Linked DNA regions of Caenorhabditis elegans. The protein of the gene in region 3 interacts with the protein of the main gene of each other region in a pairwise test. Each region holds a gene or a part of one and is shown on either strand. Other genes may lie near its edges. The genes, in order: klp-7, atf-2 and ifbp-1.

Evidence for each region.
Region 1: the proteins of ifbp-1 (region 3) and klp-7 interact in a two-hybrid assay, tested with the Caenorhabditis elegans proteins (2 studies listed by BioGRID).
Region 2: the proteins of ifbp-1 (region 3) and atf-2 interact in a two-hybrid assay, tested with the Caenorhabditis elegans proteins (2 studies listed by BioGRID).

The regions. Positions count from the first base shown.
Region 1 is NC_003281.10:10,804,248-10,811,549, reverse strand, and holds klp-7 (Kinesin-like protein), read right to left. Parts: upstream 5,626-7,302; 5' UTR 5,621-5,625; coding exon 5,452-5,620; intron 4,069-5,451; exon of another isoform or gene 4,048-4,068; intron 3,513-4,047; exon of another isoform or gene 3,368-3,512; intron 3,210-3,367; coding exon 3,091-3,209; intron 2,951-3,090; coding exon 2,734-2,950; intron 2,686-2,733; coding exon 2,028-2,685; intron 1,978-2,027; coding exon 1,516-1,977; intron 1,466-1,515; coding exon 1,154-1,465; intron 1,107-1,153; coding exon 800-1,106; 3' UTR 551-799; downstream 1-550.
Region 2 is NC_003280.10:8,749,982-8,754,546, reverse strand, and holds atf-2 (Transcription factor atf-2), read right to left. Parts: upstream 2,562-4,565; coding exon 2,431-2,561; intron 2,357-2,430; coding exon 1,981-2,356; intron 1,751-1,980; coding exon 1,528-1,750; intron 1,446-1,527; coding exon 1,189-1,445; intron 1,116-1,188; coding exon 1,017-1,115; intron 929-1,016; coding exon 809-928; 3' UTR 614-808; downstream 1-613. Other genes in the region: K08F8.7 (MARVEL domain-containing protein), read left to right, coding at 1-273, 329-386. UniProt on the Caenorhabditis elegans protein: Acts as a transcription factor that recognizes and binds to the sequence 5'-[GA]TTA[CT]GTAA[CT]-3', a sequence present in many promoters.
Region 3 is NC_003283.11:13,369,577-13,375,023, forward strand, and holds ifbp-1 (Interferon regulatory factor 2-binding protein 1 & 2 zinc finger domain-containing protein), read right to left. Parts: upstream 3,445-5,447; 5' UTR 3,323-3,444; coding exon 2,991-3,322; intron 2,653-2,990; coding exon 2,415-2,652; intron 2,366-2,414; coding exon 2,149-2,365; intron 1,794-2,148; coding exon 1,372-1,793; intron 1,277-1,371; coding exon 1,196-1,276; intron 1,061-1,195; coding exon 977-1,060; 3' UTR 519-976; downstream 1-518. Other genes in the region: srx-125 (7TM GPCR serpentine receptor class x (Srx) domain-containing protein), read left to right, coding at 101-231, 285-414.

The DNA.
Region 1 (7,302 bases), on a different chromosome or scaffold from region 3:
GAACGAGCAATTACAGCCTAACATCAACTCAGAACAAACCAGGATCCCACGCAAGTTTAAAGGAGCATGCTGGGTATCACAACGATTTTTTGAAGAGAACGAGGCCCCACGAAACGGGGAGCAGAACGAAAAGGGGATCTGCAAAAAGGGGATCTGCAAAAAGGGGATCTGCGAAAAGGGGAGATATGAAAAGGGGAGATACGAAAAGGGGAGCTGGCACTGTGCCAAACGCACAAAACGCAATTTTTCTCACGCAACGCACGTTGATTTTTGAAATTTTCTTCTAGAAGATACGCTTAACAACACGCGACGCGTAACATCGGAGCATCGTTGTATTGTTTTCTTCGAGAAAAATAGCGTTTGGCACAGTGCCAGATCTCCTTTTCGTATCTCCCCTTTTTCGTATCTCCCCTTTTCGTATCTCCCCTTTTCGCAGATCTCCTTTTTGCAGATCCCCTTTTCGTTCTGCTCCCCTTTTCGTGGGGCCTCAAGAGAACGACTTAATTGTGCATGAATTCCGGAACAGCCACCTTCAAATTGAACACTGATTAAACGAATAAAATGGTTCATTTAAAACGGAACCGAGAAAAAATGGGGACCCGTAAAATATTCACAACGAGAGGGGAAAAAGATGGAAGGGGAGGGTCAAATAATTTTCACATACCCTAAATGAAATAAATACGGTAAAATATTGGAGGAATGCGATAAAAATAAATAGAAAATGGTGAATAATGAGGGGGGCGGGGAGTAATAATCATGGTACATGAAGTGGGTAGCATATCGTCGCGGGAATCAGCAATCAGACGTTTTCCACGGCGACACGGGTGTTCGAGACTATCTGCGCAAGTTGATCAAGCTTGGCGAGGCATTCGGCTTTCTGGGCAGCACTCGGCTCGTTGGAGAGGACAATCGTCGTTTCGCGTATGATCTTTTCAGACATATCTTTCAGGTTCCGGACGTGATCGACCGCTACTCGACGATGTTCTTGCTTCTCGACCATCTCATCGTACTCTTCATCCGATTTGTCTGCCGATGGGGGCAGGAACAATTCCTCGTCTCGAATTGGGGTTGCTTCGCCGCTTCCGTCGGTTCCCATTTCTTTGACACTGAAAAATGTGAATTTTTTTTAGCAAAAAATAAATAAAATTCCTACCGATCCGCGTAGCGAAGTGTGTTGAGCGTGTGATCACTCGACGAGATCCCTGGCGAAATCATCGAGATCATCACTGTCCTGGACTTCTCACCGATGAAGCTGTCTCGGAGAACCATCGTGAGCTTCGACTGTCTGAACGGGACATGTGAGCTGTTGCGAGCCATTCCACGGATGCACTCCTTCAGTGCGAGCAGCGATGTGTTGATGTTGGCGCCCTCTTTCCGCGTGTCACGATCGCATTCTCTCGTGTCTTGTCCTCGCTCGTTTCCAGCCAAGTCGATCAACGAGAACTTGCCCCACACCTTTTTGCCTCTGAAAATAATTAATTTTAAAGCAATCTTCACGTAAAAACAAAAACTAACTGTCTAAGAATGATCTGGAATATGGCGTGAGAACGCGACGAGTTCGCGTTTGCCGAAGTGGTTCCAGCGGTTCTGACCAGAGTTCCTTTGTTGATGAGCTCCAAGACATCCTGCTCATTGTGCGCTTGCTCCTCTTTGAGCCCAACAACCTGCACCTTCTGCATCTTATCCTCAAGCACACGAAGCTCGGCCTTATCGTTGAGCAAGTCGTACGTCTTCGTTCCGTAAATCTCGAAGAACGCACAGTGCACCGAGAGATCCTTGCGACGGTACTGTGGCTGCTCGAGCATCCGGAACACATCTCGTGCCGTCAACGCGTAGATTCCCATCGACGCATTCTGCTTCTTTCCGGAGAAATCTCCACCCATTGTGTGCGTCTTTCCGGATCCTGTTTGACCGTAGGCAAAGCACGTCGCAGTTCCATTGTCGAAGACGGTTTTCACGAGTGGTGCTGCAGTGAAGCTGAAAATATCATTTTTAAAAACGAAAACTGAAAAATTAAAAAAACCAACCGATAGACCAGCTCGTTGTTGGCGTACTCGTCGAAAGAGTAATCGAATCGGAACTTCTGATTGTCCAGATACTTTGTCAAGTCGACACGTGTTTGTGGTTGATGGAGAATTGTGATGTCACGAGAAGGGATCGTGATCACATCGACCTCCGCTTTCGTCAGCTCCTTCTTGTTCAGTGGGCGCTTCCGAACGCAAACGGAAATCCGATTCTCGTTGACACCGTCGAACATGCTCAACGGACGATAGTCGATCTGGGCTCTGTAGTTGCGAATCATCTCCGCGAAAGCAAAGTTCCCATTCGACGGCTGAACATCCTGTTGTGGATACGACCGCGGTACGTTCTTCGGCGACGGAACTCTTGCCACTGGAGACGGGGCTCGCTGTGATGTCATGTTGGCGATTGGTGGAGCAGGAACAGGGGCCGGAGCTGGAGCTACCACAACTGTGCGCCTTGCAGTGTGCTTCGGAACCGTGATCGCCGTACTATCAAGATCTGGCTTGAAGGCTGCTGTCGTACGAGTAGACTTCGGTGCAGGAGCAGCATCCTCCTTCGGTGACGGAGCACGACGAGTCGGGAGAGGCTTTTCGGATGGAGGAGCCATACGAACAGGAACGTGCTGCGTGAAAGCTCCCGTTGGTCGTTTGTTGGCAGAAGCACCTGAAAATCAATTTTTGTTTCATATTAAACCAGAACTCTCCAACAAACCTTTAGCCGGAATCATGTTGATATGATCCAAGAGGAATGTATCCTCGTCATCGAGTATCATGCTCTGCGCATGGATCCCGTTTTGTCTGTTGACAGCAGTTGACGCTTGAAGCGTTTTTTGAGGAGGCTGTGGCGGCGGCGTAGGCTTCGGTGCTTGGAGTGATGGGTTCAGCGTGAGAAGTTCTTCCAACGAGGATTCCTTTCCTTTTGTCTCGCCCTGAAAATGTGAAAGATTGCAAGAGAAAAAAGAGAAGAAAGAAAGTACACAATGCCAAATGCATGATTTTTGGTTCGGCATCACATCCGAAATGCATGATTCTGTGACGAGTGATGGTCTTCTCGAAGGATGCGACTCACCTTCTCATACCATTCCACCATAAACCGGCCGTTCGACTTAACTTCGGCGATTACGGCACCGTGGATGCGGCCGTCGCTCCGCTTGATTTCCACATGCATCCCGACGACAAGCATTTTACCTGAAAATAATAACAAATTAATTGGATTCGAGTTAATTAGAGCGTAAGAATAAAGGAAACAATTGTTCATATCCCATGAAAGAAAATGATAAACTATCGGAAAACATTAGTCAGTGGCGGGGGAGATGTTATGAAATGGCGAGTACTGCCGCTGCTGCTGCTGGGAAATTGGCGCGAAAATTGCGTTCGAAGGGGGAGTAGAGGGAGGAAAACGGATGAAATAGGCGAGGGGAGTGAAGAAACGCAGACAGGCGACCGCTCGATGGACACAGCATGGACGGGTGGGTCTGGACACACAAAGGAGTGCTTCTTCCAACGGATTACGGAGCGAAACGGTCAGAAACGTGGGCTCCAGAAATGTAAAACAGACGGTTTTGGAGGAGAAAACTAGTGTATTTTGATGATATCGATCAAAATCGATGTAACAGGATAATTTTGTAAAAAAAATGGTAGAAATGTTCGCGAAAATGGATCTTTTCTGAAGCGAAAAACAGAGAAAATTTCTTGAAAAGGTCTAAAAACTAAAAAATGCGGAAACGACTACGATACAAATTTCGCTACGAGACACGAGCTCAGCAGGCACGTATGTTCCTTTAAATGAATAATCGTTTCTTGGAGAAAATTCATGTTTTTTCATTAAAAAACATGAATATTGACTTGAATTCCATGTAAAAATCAGAAAACGACTACGATACAATTATTCTTTTTCTAGATTTTTTCGAGTTTCAAAGCAAAATGTTCAGATTATAATAATTATTTGCCATTAATCAAAAAGAAATTGTGACAAAATAAGAAAAATTAACTTAAAACAAAAAAAACTGGCCAAAAACCGGCTGAGTCAACCCGAAAACCACCTAAAATGATAGCGAAGGAAAAACAAAATGAGAGAAACTTCGCGAAACAAAAATATGAATTCGTGCGCGCCCGCCTGAGATCGTAGGTCAATTGTAGGTCAAAACATATCAGAGGCAATTAGACAAGTCTAGAAAAATTCAATTTTTGATTTCTCGCCTTTGCAAAGCTTTGTCAAAGCTTTGCATAATTTTCTATAATTTTAGACACTATTTATTAAATTTTTCCTTCAAATTCAACGATTTAAGCCGAGTTTTCGATTTGAAACCTACTTTTCCCTAATAAAAATTATCGAATTTCTCGAGAACAAATGTTCAAACGACTGAAACTAAAGAAGACTCGCCGGAATGCGGCAATAAAATGAGGGACACGAAGAATTGGAAGTGGGGGCTCGGTTCCCGAAGAGCTCGTGTTTCGCAATCGGGAATAGTTGGGGGGGGGGGGGGGGGGACCGAGAGAGCCGGAAGACGTGGAGGAGGGAAAGAAAATGCAGTGCTTCTAAATAGGACACATACACATGAAAAGCTCACAAAGAAAGACAGACAGAGAGACATTGCTCTATGGTTATGAGCTCTTTCTTGCTTTTTTTGGGTGTGGTGCAAAAAGACGGAGCAAAAAAGGATTATGATGGGTAACCTTTGCACATAAACACTTGGGAAACGTACGATACCAGGTCTCGACACGAAAAATTTTGGTTGAATGCAAAATTGTGTATGCGCCTTTAAATAGTAACTCTAACTGCAAAGCGGAATTTTCAGTTTTCATTTACTTTTCAAGAACATTTTTTGACGAAAAACTATTACTAAAACTATTACTACAACACAGAATTATGATAATGCGTCTCACACAACATATTTGACGCGCAAAATATCTTGTAACGAAAGCTACAGTAACTTTATAAATGACTACTGTAGTCGATTTACGGGCTCGGATGGATTAAAATTTTACTTTACTATCGCTAAAATATTAAAATAAAAATAAAAATGAGAAAATTATGCGAAGAAACGAATGAAAATGGAAAAAAAAGAATTAGAATTACTGTAGTTTTCGCTAACTTAAGAGATATTTTGTGCGTCAAATATGTTGCACAAGACGCTATTTTTTTTAAACAAAATAAAACACATTTAAAAATTGCGGAAACGGGAGACAATCCATGAATAATCGATGAAAATCGTGGTGGAAGTTAGGAAGTTACAGTACTCTTCAAAGGCGCACGCCTTTTTGCATATTACAAAAATTGTCGCGTCGGGATCGTATTTTCGAGTTCAAAAAAACGAAAAAGTTTGACATCTGAGTAATAACTGAAACTGGCTGAAAGTTCATGAAATGCGACAAAAAGAAATATAAGCCTCTCAGCTTATTTCCGAAAAAGTCGAGATGACTCACTTACCGGTCACATTATACCAAGGAAATGATATTTCCTCCCCTGAATCACTGTCCGGTGGACCGATTCCATGCTTTTCGACTTCTGATTTGGCCTTCGGAGCCCGTCGCCACGGCTTCTCGGCTCGTTTTCTCTGCACTTCAGGATTTTCCTTACAACTTCTGCAACTTTTCATCGGGATCGAATTGGAAATAATATTTTTTTCATTATTTTTTGTCCGAACGGAAAATAAACAATGCCACGTGACAATGCGAAATTTATGATGCCACGGGTTTTTTCTTTTTTCTTTTTATTTTTTATCCATTTTGGCTTAAAAAATCCACAACAAAAAACAAGAAAAATTCAATTAAAAAACACGGAGAAATGCGACCAATCAACGATGGAGTGGGAAATAAAAAAGAATGACTCCATATGATTTTCCAGGACTTTTGAATTTTTGAAAAAATCAGCTTTTATATATTTTTATCAATTAAAAAAAATACTTTTTTTTTGGGTTTTTCTTTTTTCTTTTTATTTTTTATCCATTTTGGCTTAAAAAATCCACAAAAAAACAAGAAAAATTCAATTAAAAAACACGGAGAAATGCGACCAATCAACGATGGAGTGTACGGAGTTCGAAGTCGCTGATTGGTCGCAGTTCTCATTTGAGAATTCCCTCCAGATAAAATGAGAACTGCAAGACCAATCAGCGATTCACTCCGCCTACTTTCCACCCAATCAGCATTCTTTAACTCCGCCCATTCCGTCTGATTGGTTGAGATTTGGGCGTAACGAATCGCTGATTGGTAGTTCTTTTTTGGAAGGATTTTATCGATTTTATCGTTTTTTTAATGATTCTTTTTGAATTTCAGACGTTTTTTTTTGAATTTTTTGAAGCAAAAACTATTCCACATTGAAAGGCAAAAGAAAAAAATACAATTCGCGCGCCGAGACCTTACTTTTAATTTTATTTTCCAGCAAAGAAAGAAATCAAAATATCTATATGTAACGCCCTTTTTCAGAGTTACAAAGTCTGTAATAAACATACCATAAAAATGAAAAATCAGCATCATTTTTTTGTCACATTGCATTTTTAACCTTTTCCACTGGCCGGCGGCGGCGTCCCATTAAAGAAAGTGATCCCTTATCACTTTTCTTGCTGATTATGAGACCAAAGTTTCCCCCCATGTTCTGGAATTTTTTTTTTAGGTTTCCGGCAATTTTTTCGTTTGAAATTCTACCATTTACAATTTAAATCTGTTTAATCCGATTGACTTATGTTTGCCGGTGGCGGTTTGTGTGTGTGTAATTCCCATCAAAAAATAAAAAACTTCGCTCCACACATTTTTACAGTGATGATTTTCGAATTTTTAAAAGAGTACTTGCAGAATTTGAAATAAATTTGTCTCTTTCGATCTGAATATATTACATTAGAACACAAAATTCTAATAATGCGTATTGCACAACATATTTGACGCGCAAAATATCTCGTAGCGAAAACTACAGTAATTCTTTAGATGACTACTGTAGCTCGATTTACGGGCTTGATTTTTAAAATGAATTTCTTCGTTTCGTCGTATAACTTTTTTCTTTTTTTTTGCTTAACTTTAATATTCTATAGATGAACAAATGATTTATGCAATTAATTTCAAAAATTGACCCCGTAAATCGACACTACAGTAGTCATTTAAAGAATTACTGTAGTTTTCGCTACGAGATATAGTTATAATTTATTTTGCTCGTCAAATATGTTGCCCAATACGCATTCTCAGAATATTATGCTCCCGTAATAAGGTTGCACCACCCCTAAACGCTGGGTCTCGTTAGGAATTGGACGGCAAAATTTTAGCCCGTTTTCAAAGAATTTTTCGTACTTTT
Region 2 (4,565 bases), on a different chromosome or scaffold from region 3:
ATTCACTTTTGTTTTTGCTCTTTCCATTCTCGTCTCTGCAATTCTGTTTTTAATTGCCAATGATGGTTGTGACTCCCGAGCAATAACTCAATACGGATGTTATCAATCAGTTTCCACTGGAACATTCCAAGTTGCTTCAGTATTTTGCTTTTTGGTTCTAGTATTTGGACTTCTGGATCTAGGCCTGAATGCCTTCTATTTTTATCGTAATTCAAAAAAGGCGCCAATTTATGACATTCCGCCACCGTCTGTTGCCGTCATCGAAACGGAAAAGTGGGTCAAGATTTGCATAAAATTAGGAAATATTTTATATTTCATGTCCTTTCAGAAGTATACATGACATTTACATGGAGTATCAACGAAAAGGGCAAACAAGTTCTGTTTAATGGAAAAGTAATCAAATAATTATCAATGCTCAACTTTAAATTCACTTTCTCATAATAATTTGTATATATGAAACATTAATAAAACAATTTTCTGATTCAGTTATATCATTCTGAAAAGTTTCCGTTTTCTGGCAAGCGACGGGTGGATTTTAAAAATCGTTTGCAGACTTTACTTTTTTTTGTTGTTTCACCTTTTTTTGTACAGGAAGCAAATCAAAAATAATAACACATTGGTTTTATTAGAAACAATTAATGAAACATTTAAAGTTAAAAAGTATTGCACATGAATGATTGGAAGTATTGCAGAAAGAGAGGAAGGGTTTTTTGAGAGCGAAAGACTTTGATTGGGGGGCATCTAGCGAGAAGACGAAGAAAATTGGCTTTCTATCCGTATTAGTCAAAAATAAGAAAATGGAATGGGATCAAGGGTGAAGGGCAGTAACAACTGATGCTCTTTGAGCCAAAACTGATTTGAAGTGGGCTATTTCTGCTTTTAGCGTTTCGATTTGGGTACGAAGATCTTCATTTTCACCTTCCAAGAGCTGAAAATGTTAAGTAATAATTGATTCAATAAATTTATATCTAAGTTTTAAAATTTTATGTTTTCTATTAAAATTAGTTTCAACTTACCTGAACTCGTCGTGACCTGTATTCGAATACTGCTCGTCTATTTGCTCTACATCTTTTTGCGGCTTCATTGTTCCTTCGACGTCTGTCCACATATTGGGGCTGAAAGTTTTTTTTTGAAATATTTGACATGTATTTAAAAATGTCTTCTTTCAATTCCTTTAAAAAAACTTACCGATTTGTTCGAATAATTTGAGTGATCTTCCGAAGAATGCGATGGAGAGAAAGATGCTGAAGACGATACACTTTCACAGTCTGATTTGTTTCCAGTATGTCTTGGAGGGGAATTTAGCCCCGAAATATGTTCCGTTCGGCTTTGTGGTACTGTAGGAGAAGGTCTTCGCTGTGAAAGAAGAGCAGATAGCAGGGATGGTCCTTGTTGAACAGCTTGGATTACTGGTTGAGGCGTACCTGATGGAGCAGGCTGACCGACTGAAATAAATTTTAGATTATAGTTTCAATTAATACTAGTGAAATGAAAATATGCTCTTTACTTTCAAAAACAACGACTTACTTTGTTGAATAACGCTAGATCCAGGCTGTAACTGAGGTTGAGGCATATTCACGTCAGTTGATGAATCTGGACTTCTTCGTTCAATTTTCACAATTACGCTACTCGATGGAAAACTCTGCTGAGCACTTTCTGATGGTCGAAAAGGATGAAATGCAGATGAAGACGATGAAGAGAATAAAGATGATGCTGACGTTGATGCAGGTTGTTGAGTGCTCGCATAGACCTACAAACATGGAAAAACGTTATGGGACATCTGTCTTTCTAGGTCACGCATTCAGCTGTCAATGTATTCATTAAATTGTTGACAATCTGAGTTGTGTTGCCAAAAAATGACAATGGAACTTTATATGCGGTTCAGACGTTTTTGTAATAGTAAATATTTTTCCACGAGTTAATTTATTTTATTTAAATCATCACAATTTCGATATTTCCAAGTTCAATAAAATAACTTACCGGTGACTGAATAGTTGTTGGCTGTAGTTGACAAAGCTGCAACATTGATGGAATATGCGAAGCTGCCTGGAGCAATGGAACAGTAAGCATTGAACTCGCTTGCAAAGATGCTATTGGACCCGCTGGGAAAAGATTCTTTGCAACTTGGGGAATAATCAGAGATGTTGGAGGCTCTGTTACTGATGGTTGTGGAATTGGTGTCGTTCCTAACTGAGATTTTAACCGTTCGTTTTCGGCGGAAAGTAACATTATTTTTTCTTCCATTGCTAGATCGTTTTGCCTTCGCTTTTCTCGACTTCTTCTTGATGCATCGTTATTTCTCCGTCGCCTTTCCCAGTAATGTTCATCTTTTATTACACTTTCGTTTACGGAATTTCTGGAAAAATAGTTATCAATGTCGAAAAGTATTTAAACTTTCAAAAGTTTCATCAAACTGTTAAAAATTCAAACCTTCTAGATTCCGGGGGAGATCCTTCTGAAAAGTTCGACGAATCCGACGAGCTCGATGAGAACTCGGCGGATGCCGAACAAACCACCGAAAGTCTGGAGGACGGTGACAATGATGCCGAGTCGACGTCCATCTGAAAAATAAAAATAAGATGATTAAAAGTCAAACAAAAGAAGAAAATCAAGAATATAGAAGTACGAAATTTGAAAGAAAAGAACATCGGTGAAAGAAATATGAATACCAAAATCTTTCAAAATGAATTAAGACACAACATTTATATTTTGACTTCAAAATGTTAGTACACATGGTGTATTGAAATGGAAAGTTAGTAGAGTTAAAAGAAGCTGTCAACCTATTTGATGTAAGGACAAATACGTCTTTTTGAGTTGAAATTGACACGATCTTTGGAGATTCAGCACAATCAGAAGTTCAATGTGTTCACTGTTTCCAGATATTATTAATTAATTGTAAGCCATTTTAATTGACCAATGTGTATACAAAAATTATTCAGTTTTTGGTTTCAGTGAAGATGATCTTACGCAATGCTAATCCCTGAGTATCTAGACAACCAGAAAATCACTAACTTAAAAAAAGGTGAGAAAACAAAGTATATCTGGTACAGGTGTGTTCATATGGTAGGTGTAGAGTGCAGTTAGCAACAATTAAGCGGTGTTGTGCCTCTCCTCAGTTGACCTATTTGCGCCTTGCAAACCAGTTAGCCATGGTCAATGTTTCGGACAATGCTTGGTAGATCCTCTCACTCTCAGTCTCTACAATAAACCAGTCGAAGAACAGGATATCCCCTCCGACTTTCGCCCCCTTCTCTCTTCATTGCAGTCCCTTCTCTTTTTCTTCGACCCGTCTCCTAATCATTTTTCATCGTTCGCAACGACTTCAACGCGTCGCCTCCTCCGATCCATGATGATGCCGACTTTTCCTAATTGTTTTCACTTTCCTTTCGCTTTCATGCTTAACTTTCGCTGCTTCGGGTTACGGATGTATGTGTGTCTAAGTGTGAGAAGGAGGAGGAGGTCAATGGTTGAATTCGTCGCATCAGGTCACTAGTACAAAAGGGTAGGTGAACTTTGCGGAGAATTGGAAGACAAGAGGATGAAGCTACTGGGTGGAAAGTGAATAATGAGATACGGCTAAAAGATAAAGTTGAAAAAGATAACGAAGAAAAAATTGGTAGGTTTAGATAAACAAAAGTCTTGAAAAATTCATAAACGCACTCTAGGTCAGGACTGTAAAATATGACCAATGTGAGTGCAAGCCTGATAGAGAAATTTTGGTTATTTTTCACTGCTGAACACAAAAAATGATACTCAATTCTGAAAGTAATTGTTCAAGAAACTCGGAAACGATACAAGCAAATGTATTCAAAATGAAAAAAATGCGTTGAACTAGATGAACAAATTCGCGAAATCGGGCTGGACTTGTTTGTTTTTGATTGTGCACCTTGAAAAAGAGTGGCGAGAGCCAAAATAACCGCCGCCCGTGTTGGGGGACAATCGTCAGCGAAAAGAGAGAGCTATTTTTGTTTGTTTGTAAGGCTCGGAGAATGACGAGAAGTGAATCACAAACAGTGTCCACTATCCTCCCGCACCGCTTCCAAAACTTTTTTGTCTGCAAACCAGAACAGCCAAATTCACTGCATCATTTGATGATTTTGATGACCAGTGAGTGTGTGCCTGTCCCTTGCTGTGTCTACTTCAGTAGTTTTACATGGAGAGCGGATAATACGGTTAGGTAGAGTAACAGAGTGAGAGTGCACTTTTGGTAGTTGATTGCGAAAGTGAGGTGTTGAAATGATGGTATTCTTGTTGGGAACTGAAAGATCGCAGTTCGATACGAGAAAGAGAGAGTGGCTAGCACGATCATATCGTTCGGGAACGAGTCGGTGAAAGTATGCAGGCTATGGGAAGGAAAGTGAATGAAATTGGAAAAAGAGGAGAGAAAATTGAAATTCAATTTTAGATAAAGGTATCTTTACTTGAATCTAGGATTGTCAAGAAGAACTGTTATTTTCTTAGAACTTTTAAATTGGAACAAGTGAAGTTTTAGCTTTTCACATGAAAAAGAGGTATTCTTTGAGTCTGCCCACTTTGAAAAGTGAATTAATGAAAACTGTTTCAAA
Region 3 (5,447 bases):
TATCTTTATCAACTTTTGTTTATTCTCGAGAACAAATACATAAACAATTTTCATCTTCACATGAATACTTTTACCGGAATCTCCTTTTTCCATATTTCAGAGTGTGCTGCAAGACACACTTCACTTGATCGACATGATCAATTGCACAATACTCTTCAAACTCAATTCAGCAATTTGGTATCAGTTCATTTTTCTGTCCGTCAGTTTTCTATCGATTCATGCGCTGGACGGGTGAGTGGACGTTGGTCGAACGTGTTGATAAGAGTTTCCGGAAACATTTACAGAAGCGTCATGCTATATTTCCATACTGAGATACATCCGCAATGGTGTCGCAGATTGTTGAAGCCCAAATCGAGGACTGGAACTATTTTTGTGAACAGATCTAAAATATCTTCCTTCCATCCTTCTGATTAATTCTAATCATTCGAAGTTTTGTAGAATTTATACCGAGTTTTCACATTGAATTCTTGGAATTCGTGAGAGAATATGTGAAAATTTGCAATTTCTCAAACTATATCTTAAGTTTTCTGATCAAAGCTTTATTCAATTAATGAAAAAATAAACTGAAAGCTTTGGTGGGATTGTTGTTTTTTGATTTGTTTGGCAGTTGAATTTTCAATGTTCCAGGGGAGAATGGACTGGGGATAAGGTACGAACATTACAAAGTTTTTGGACTGAAAAAAGAAAAGAAACCGTAAATCCCAAAAGCAGTGAAAAGCGTAATCGAGGAAAAGGGAAATGAGAAAGGAAAAAAATCTCAAGATTTATTACCAAATGTCCCTTGAAATCACACCGTAGTTGGGACCGAAGAGAGAGAGAGAGAAAGAAAACTTGGAAAGGGGGAAAAAGTAGAGATCGTGGTGAAGCAGACAAAAGCATTGAGTGCAGCTTTGAACGGTTTCAGTGGGACTGAGAAAAAAGAGAGATTGAAAGAAAAAATATTTGTGCCTAATGTGCTCCGTGACGTCACAGGTTATCAGTTTTGTGGTGACGTGGCGGCAGATGTGGAAGAAGCCGCAGAAGTTGTTGTGGAGGCTGGAGATGTTTGATTGGCGCCGTTCTGAAAATTAATTCATTCAGAAAATGAAAAAAATCAGTTTAAATAATAGATGTTAGGGGCATGCAACATATTTATTTGAATCCGATAATCAATTTTTTGCATGCTAGTCAATGTCATATGTTAGTAATCACTTACACATGAGGTAGAAGTGTTAATTGTGGATCGTGTAAGAGTGCGATGAGGGTGGGCTCTTTGAGCATTTTGTCTCCGTCTCAACTGAAAACCATGCAAAATGCGGGTGATTTAGTTCCAAACATAAATAACAAAATTGGACAAACAAATTAGTTTCACACAATCTGATAAGGGCATACCTGTGCAGCTGCCGCGGCTGCCGCGGCGAGAGTCGCTGCGTTGGCACCCATCGGTGGAGCAAGACCGTGAGCTTCTCGGGTTCTCTTGAACTCGTCATACTCGTCACCGAGGATTTGTGCAATTTCTCCTTGCATGAATGCCCATGGCATTGCTGATCCGACTAATGGACATTTATCGCCTGATGGGCAGTACATATCACTGCTCTTGCATTGATCCTTGATGCTGCTCCGCGAGCATGGGAAGCAAAACTTGTGAATGCTGACTGTTGGGCATTGTACAAAGTGGGTGTCTTCTAGACGTTCATTGCACAGTGTACATCTCAAAACTCTCTCAATTGGGGCGATCCCTCTCCGATCCTTAACTCCCGGATGGTCTGGTGAATGAGTTGAGGTTGGCGAGGCAGTTGTCGTTTGGGCATCGCCTGAAAAATAGAAGATGATGATGATGAGGGGGTGATGACCCTGGGTGCCAGGCGCCGACAACGACGCCACAACCAACTACACTACCATCCTCTAAAACCGGTTCCGTTTTCAAAGTGTTGACCCCATATCTAGCCCTTTATTTCTCTCGAGGTCACTCATTCAACTCGCTACTCTTTTCTTCTAATTCTTCTAAATTCGGCTGGTTTTCTGTCGGGTCTATCGGTATTACGCAATTCGAGAGGGTGACAGAGAGACGATACACGGGCTAATCGGAGAGAGAGAAGGGGGCACTACTACTTTACGCAACAACCGGTTTTTTGGGACGATGTCAATTTTAAATTCTAACTGACATACCTCTCTGCACTTTTCCATATATTTCAGGCTTCTGCTCTTCGTCAGATTCACGTTTTCTTGGATTTGAATAAGTTGTGCTTGGAAGCATGCTCATCATGAATGGAGCCAAGAGATGAGAATTTGGGCCCAAGCTTCGAAGAGACTGTTGAATAAGATCGTCAACCGCCCGAGGATTGGCTTGTGTCATTTGCAGAAGTCGTTGATGGGTCAGAACTTGCTGAAAATAAATTTGTAAACTATTGCAGTTTTCAATTTTATATGTTTACCTCCAAGTTGTTCATAGTTGGCACATGGAATGGGGACGTGGGAAGTACCGTTGGCTGAGGTGTCCTTTGTGGGCTTATCCTTCCGATTCCATTAGCAGAAGTGACTGGTAATGTTTGAAGGGGTTGTTGTTGTGTAAGTGTAATATCTCGGAGGGATGTCTTTGCATTCTGTGGATCACTGATTCCAACTCCTTGGAGTTTCTTTTGTTGGCGTGTTTCTTCAAGTACGAGTTCAATTCTGAAACAGAAAAAGATATTTGGTGACAAAAAACAAAAAAAGTTCAATTGGTCTTGAAACCTTTTTAAAACTATAAGATCGTGAAGTCCTGCAATTTATAAAAAATTTCGGCAGAAAAATCGTCAAAAAAATATGTTCTTTTTCTAATTTTTTTCAAAAAAAAAATTCTTTAAAAACTTTAGGAAATCTATTACAGAACAAACTTTTAGCTTGCAGTCTTATAAGAAAAAGGGTGTCAAATTTTCATGTCCTGTATCAATATAAGAAAACTTGTGACTTTCACTTTGGAAAATTTTAAAATCGAAAGGAATTTTCATCATCATTATTTCCAAACAAACCTGTCTGATCCTTCATAATTGACGCATCCTCTGCAAACTGGCTCAATATAATCATTTATGATTGCCCACGGCCAGCGTGGCAAATCACACAGGTAACATTGTTGTCTTGGTAATTTCTCATTTGAATTATTATTCGCCTTCATTCCAGCAGTTGTTGCAGTTAGAAGTGAAGCAGAACCGTTGACAGAGGCCAATGAGACGGCGTTCGGAGCCGCGAGCATCTGGAGTGATAGAGAATAATCGACAGTATTATTGTTGTTAATTATAGAAGGTGTTGGAGAAAGAGACATCGATGCCTGCAGAAGAGCAGCCGACTCAGCGAACGAGCCCATTTCCACGAGAGGAATGATTGCAAGAATGATGGGGTAGAGGAATAGGAATGGCGCGTTTCAAGTTCGTGATGGAAGAGAGGGAGAAATTCTAGAGATAAGAAAGATTCCTGACCGAGACGAATAGGGTCGAGAGGTGAAAAAACTAGGCATGGTTTTTTAGTGATAAAAGAAGAAAAGCCGGCAGCTGATAACAGAACGCTGATGCTCTGGTTGCACACAAACAGGGTTGTTCCATGACTTGGTAAACTATTAGGGTAATCGAATATTTTTTTGTATTATTTCAAATAAACAATGGAAAATATCAAAACCATGAGCATGCGTGGGTCCGAACTATTACAGCGATGTGTAACACTTTTTTTGGATGACGAAGAACTCTATGAATAATCGACGAATAGAAGGAGACAGTAAGGGGCGAAGCACTGAGTGACGCATTGAGCACATTGTATTACTATAGTTGTGTACAAAGAATTGGCAAAGAAAAGCTGCAGGAGAAAAAATAAAAAGAAAAAGAGGTGGGTTCCGAGTCTTCGACCTCTCCTCATTCATATTCCACAAGACGTATGGATAGTGCATATCATTAGCATCGGATCTGCATCTTAATAAAGGAATTGGAATGGAAGAAGGCAACTCAAAATTGGCTCCGAAAATGCAAAAATGAGGAGACTCCCTCTGTTTTTGAGACCTTCAAATGTTTTGTTGGGGGAATAACTATTATCAAAAGTGATCAAAATTTCTGACTTATCACAGTTGCACAAAACATCAATTTGCTCAATTTTCAGATCAACATGTTCCTGTTTCTAGATTTTAGATGTTTTGTTATTTGTTATCAGTTCTAGATTTTCCTAGACGCTATAATGGCTAATTGTCAACAAGGCTTGAAAGGTCACTAAACCCCTCCTTATTGGAGAAAAACCCTTCCCAACAACTGATAAGCGGTACGAAGACCAAAGTAGAGGTGTGTGATTTCATTTTGAAAAGATAGAAACACAAGTGAAAGTCGAATTGGCGAGTCATGAGAATAAGTGAGAGAAACCTTCCGATAAGGCCATCCATAGATGTGCTAGGCCGACCAATATTTATTTGGAGCATAGTTCATTGATACTGAAAGCTCAAGAAAAACTATATGAAAGAAATATGGAGATTAGATCTCTCTCTGTGACATGGTGCACCACGTTGCACAATGGGGAAGAAAACGTGGATGTTTGGATGAAAGGAAAATGAAGAGAAATGGGAAGAAATGCAAATTTCATGTTGGCACAATAGATATGCAAAATAAATGGGGGGAAGAAGAATTCTCGATAAGTGCCTTTAACTGAAAAAAAAGATGATTCAGAAAGAATTATCATATTGTTTTAGAAAATTATGGATCTAAAAATGTAGAATAAACAATGTGTAATTGCACTACTGATATTTTGAACAAAAAACCTAAACCAAGATAATTTTGTAAACAACTTTGTTTCAACTCGGGGCTTTGAGCAGAGCATTTGCACATTTACTTTTTTTCAAGCTTGAGAAGGTGCTGTTAAACTATTCATGATTTTAAGCTGATAGGACTTTTCATCAGTATCCAAACAAAAAGAGCCGATCTTCCCACATTCGTATTTATAACTTTTAGCAGGAGTTTAAAATTCAAAAACGGGGTGCAAAGCGAAGTGACGGTCAGAAAACAAGAACAATAAAGAGGGTAGAGAAAGAAAAAAACACAAAAAATAGAAAAAAAAGAGATTGAAATGGTGACCTAGTATTCAGTATCCCAAGGAGAAGGACTACTACAGAAACTGATTGAAGGTCTTTTCTCTCTCTCTCTCTCCCTCTCTCTCTCTCCCTCTCTCTCTCCCTCCCTCTCTCCCTCAGAAAAGAACGGGCGAGGAAAAATGGGATGAAAGACGCAGACGCGCAGAGGTCAACCCTGTCGGGAGCGGAAGGATGATCGCCGCTCGCGGAAGGAAAAACGAGGATTGACCTTGGTGGTATGACCAAGAGGAATTGTGCGGAAAAAAGGTTCGTTACCAGGTAAGTAGGTAGAACAAATAGAATAGGTCTGGATAACTTTTTTCAAACTAACAGTGCATAGAATAAAATAGAAACTCTTTTTTCTATCTCTGTGGTGCGTCTTGTTTTAGAT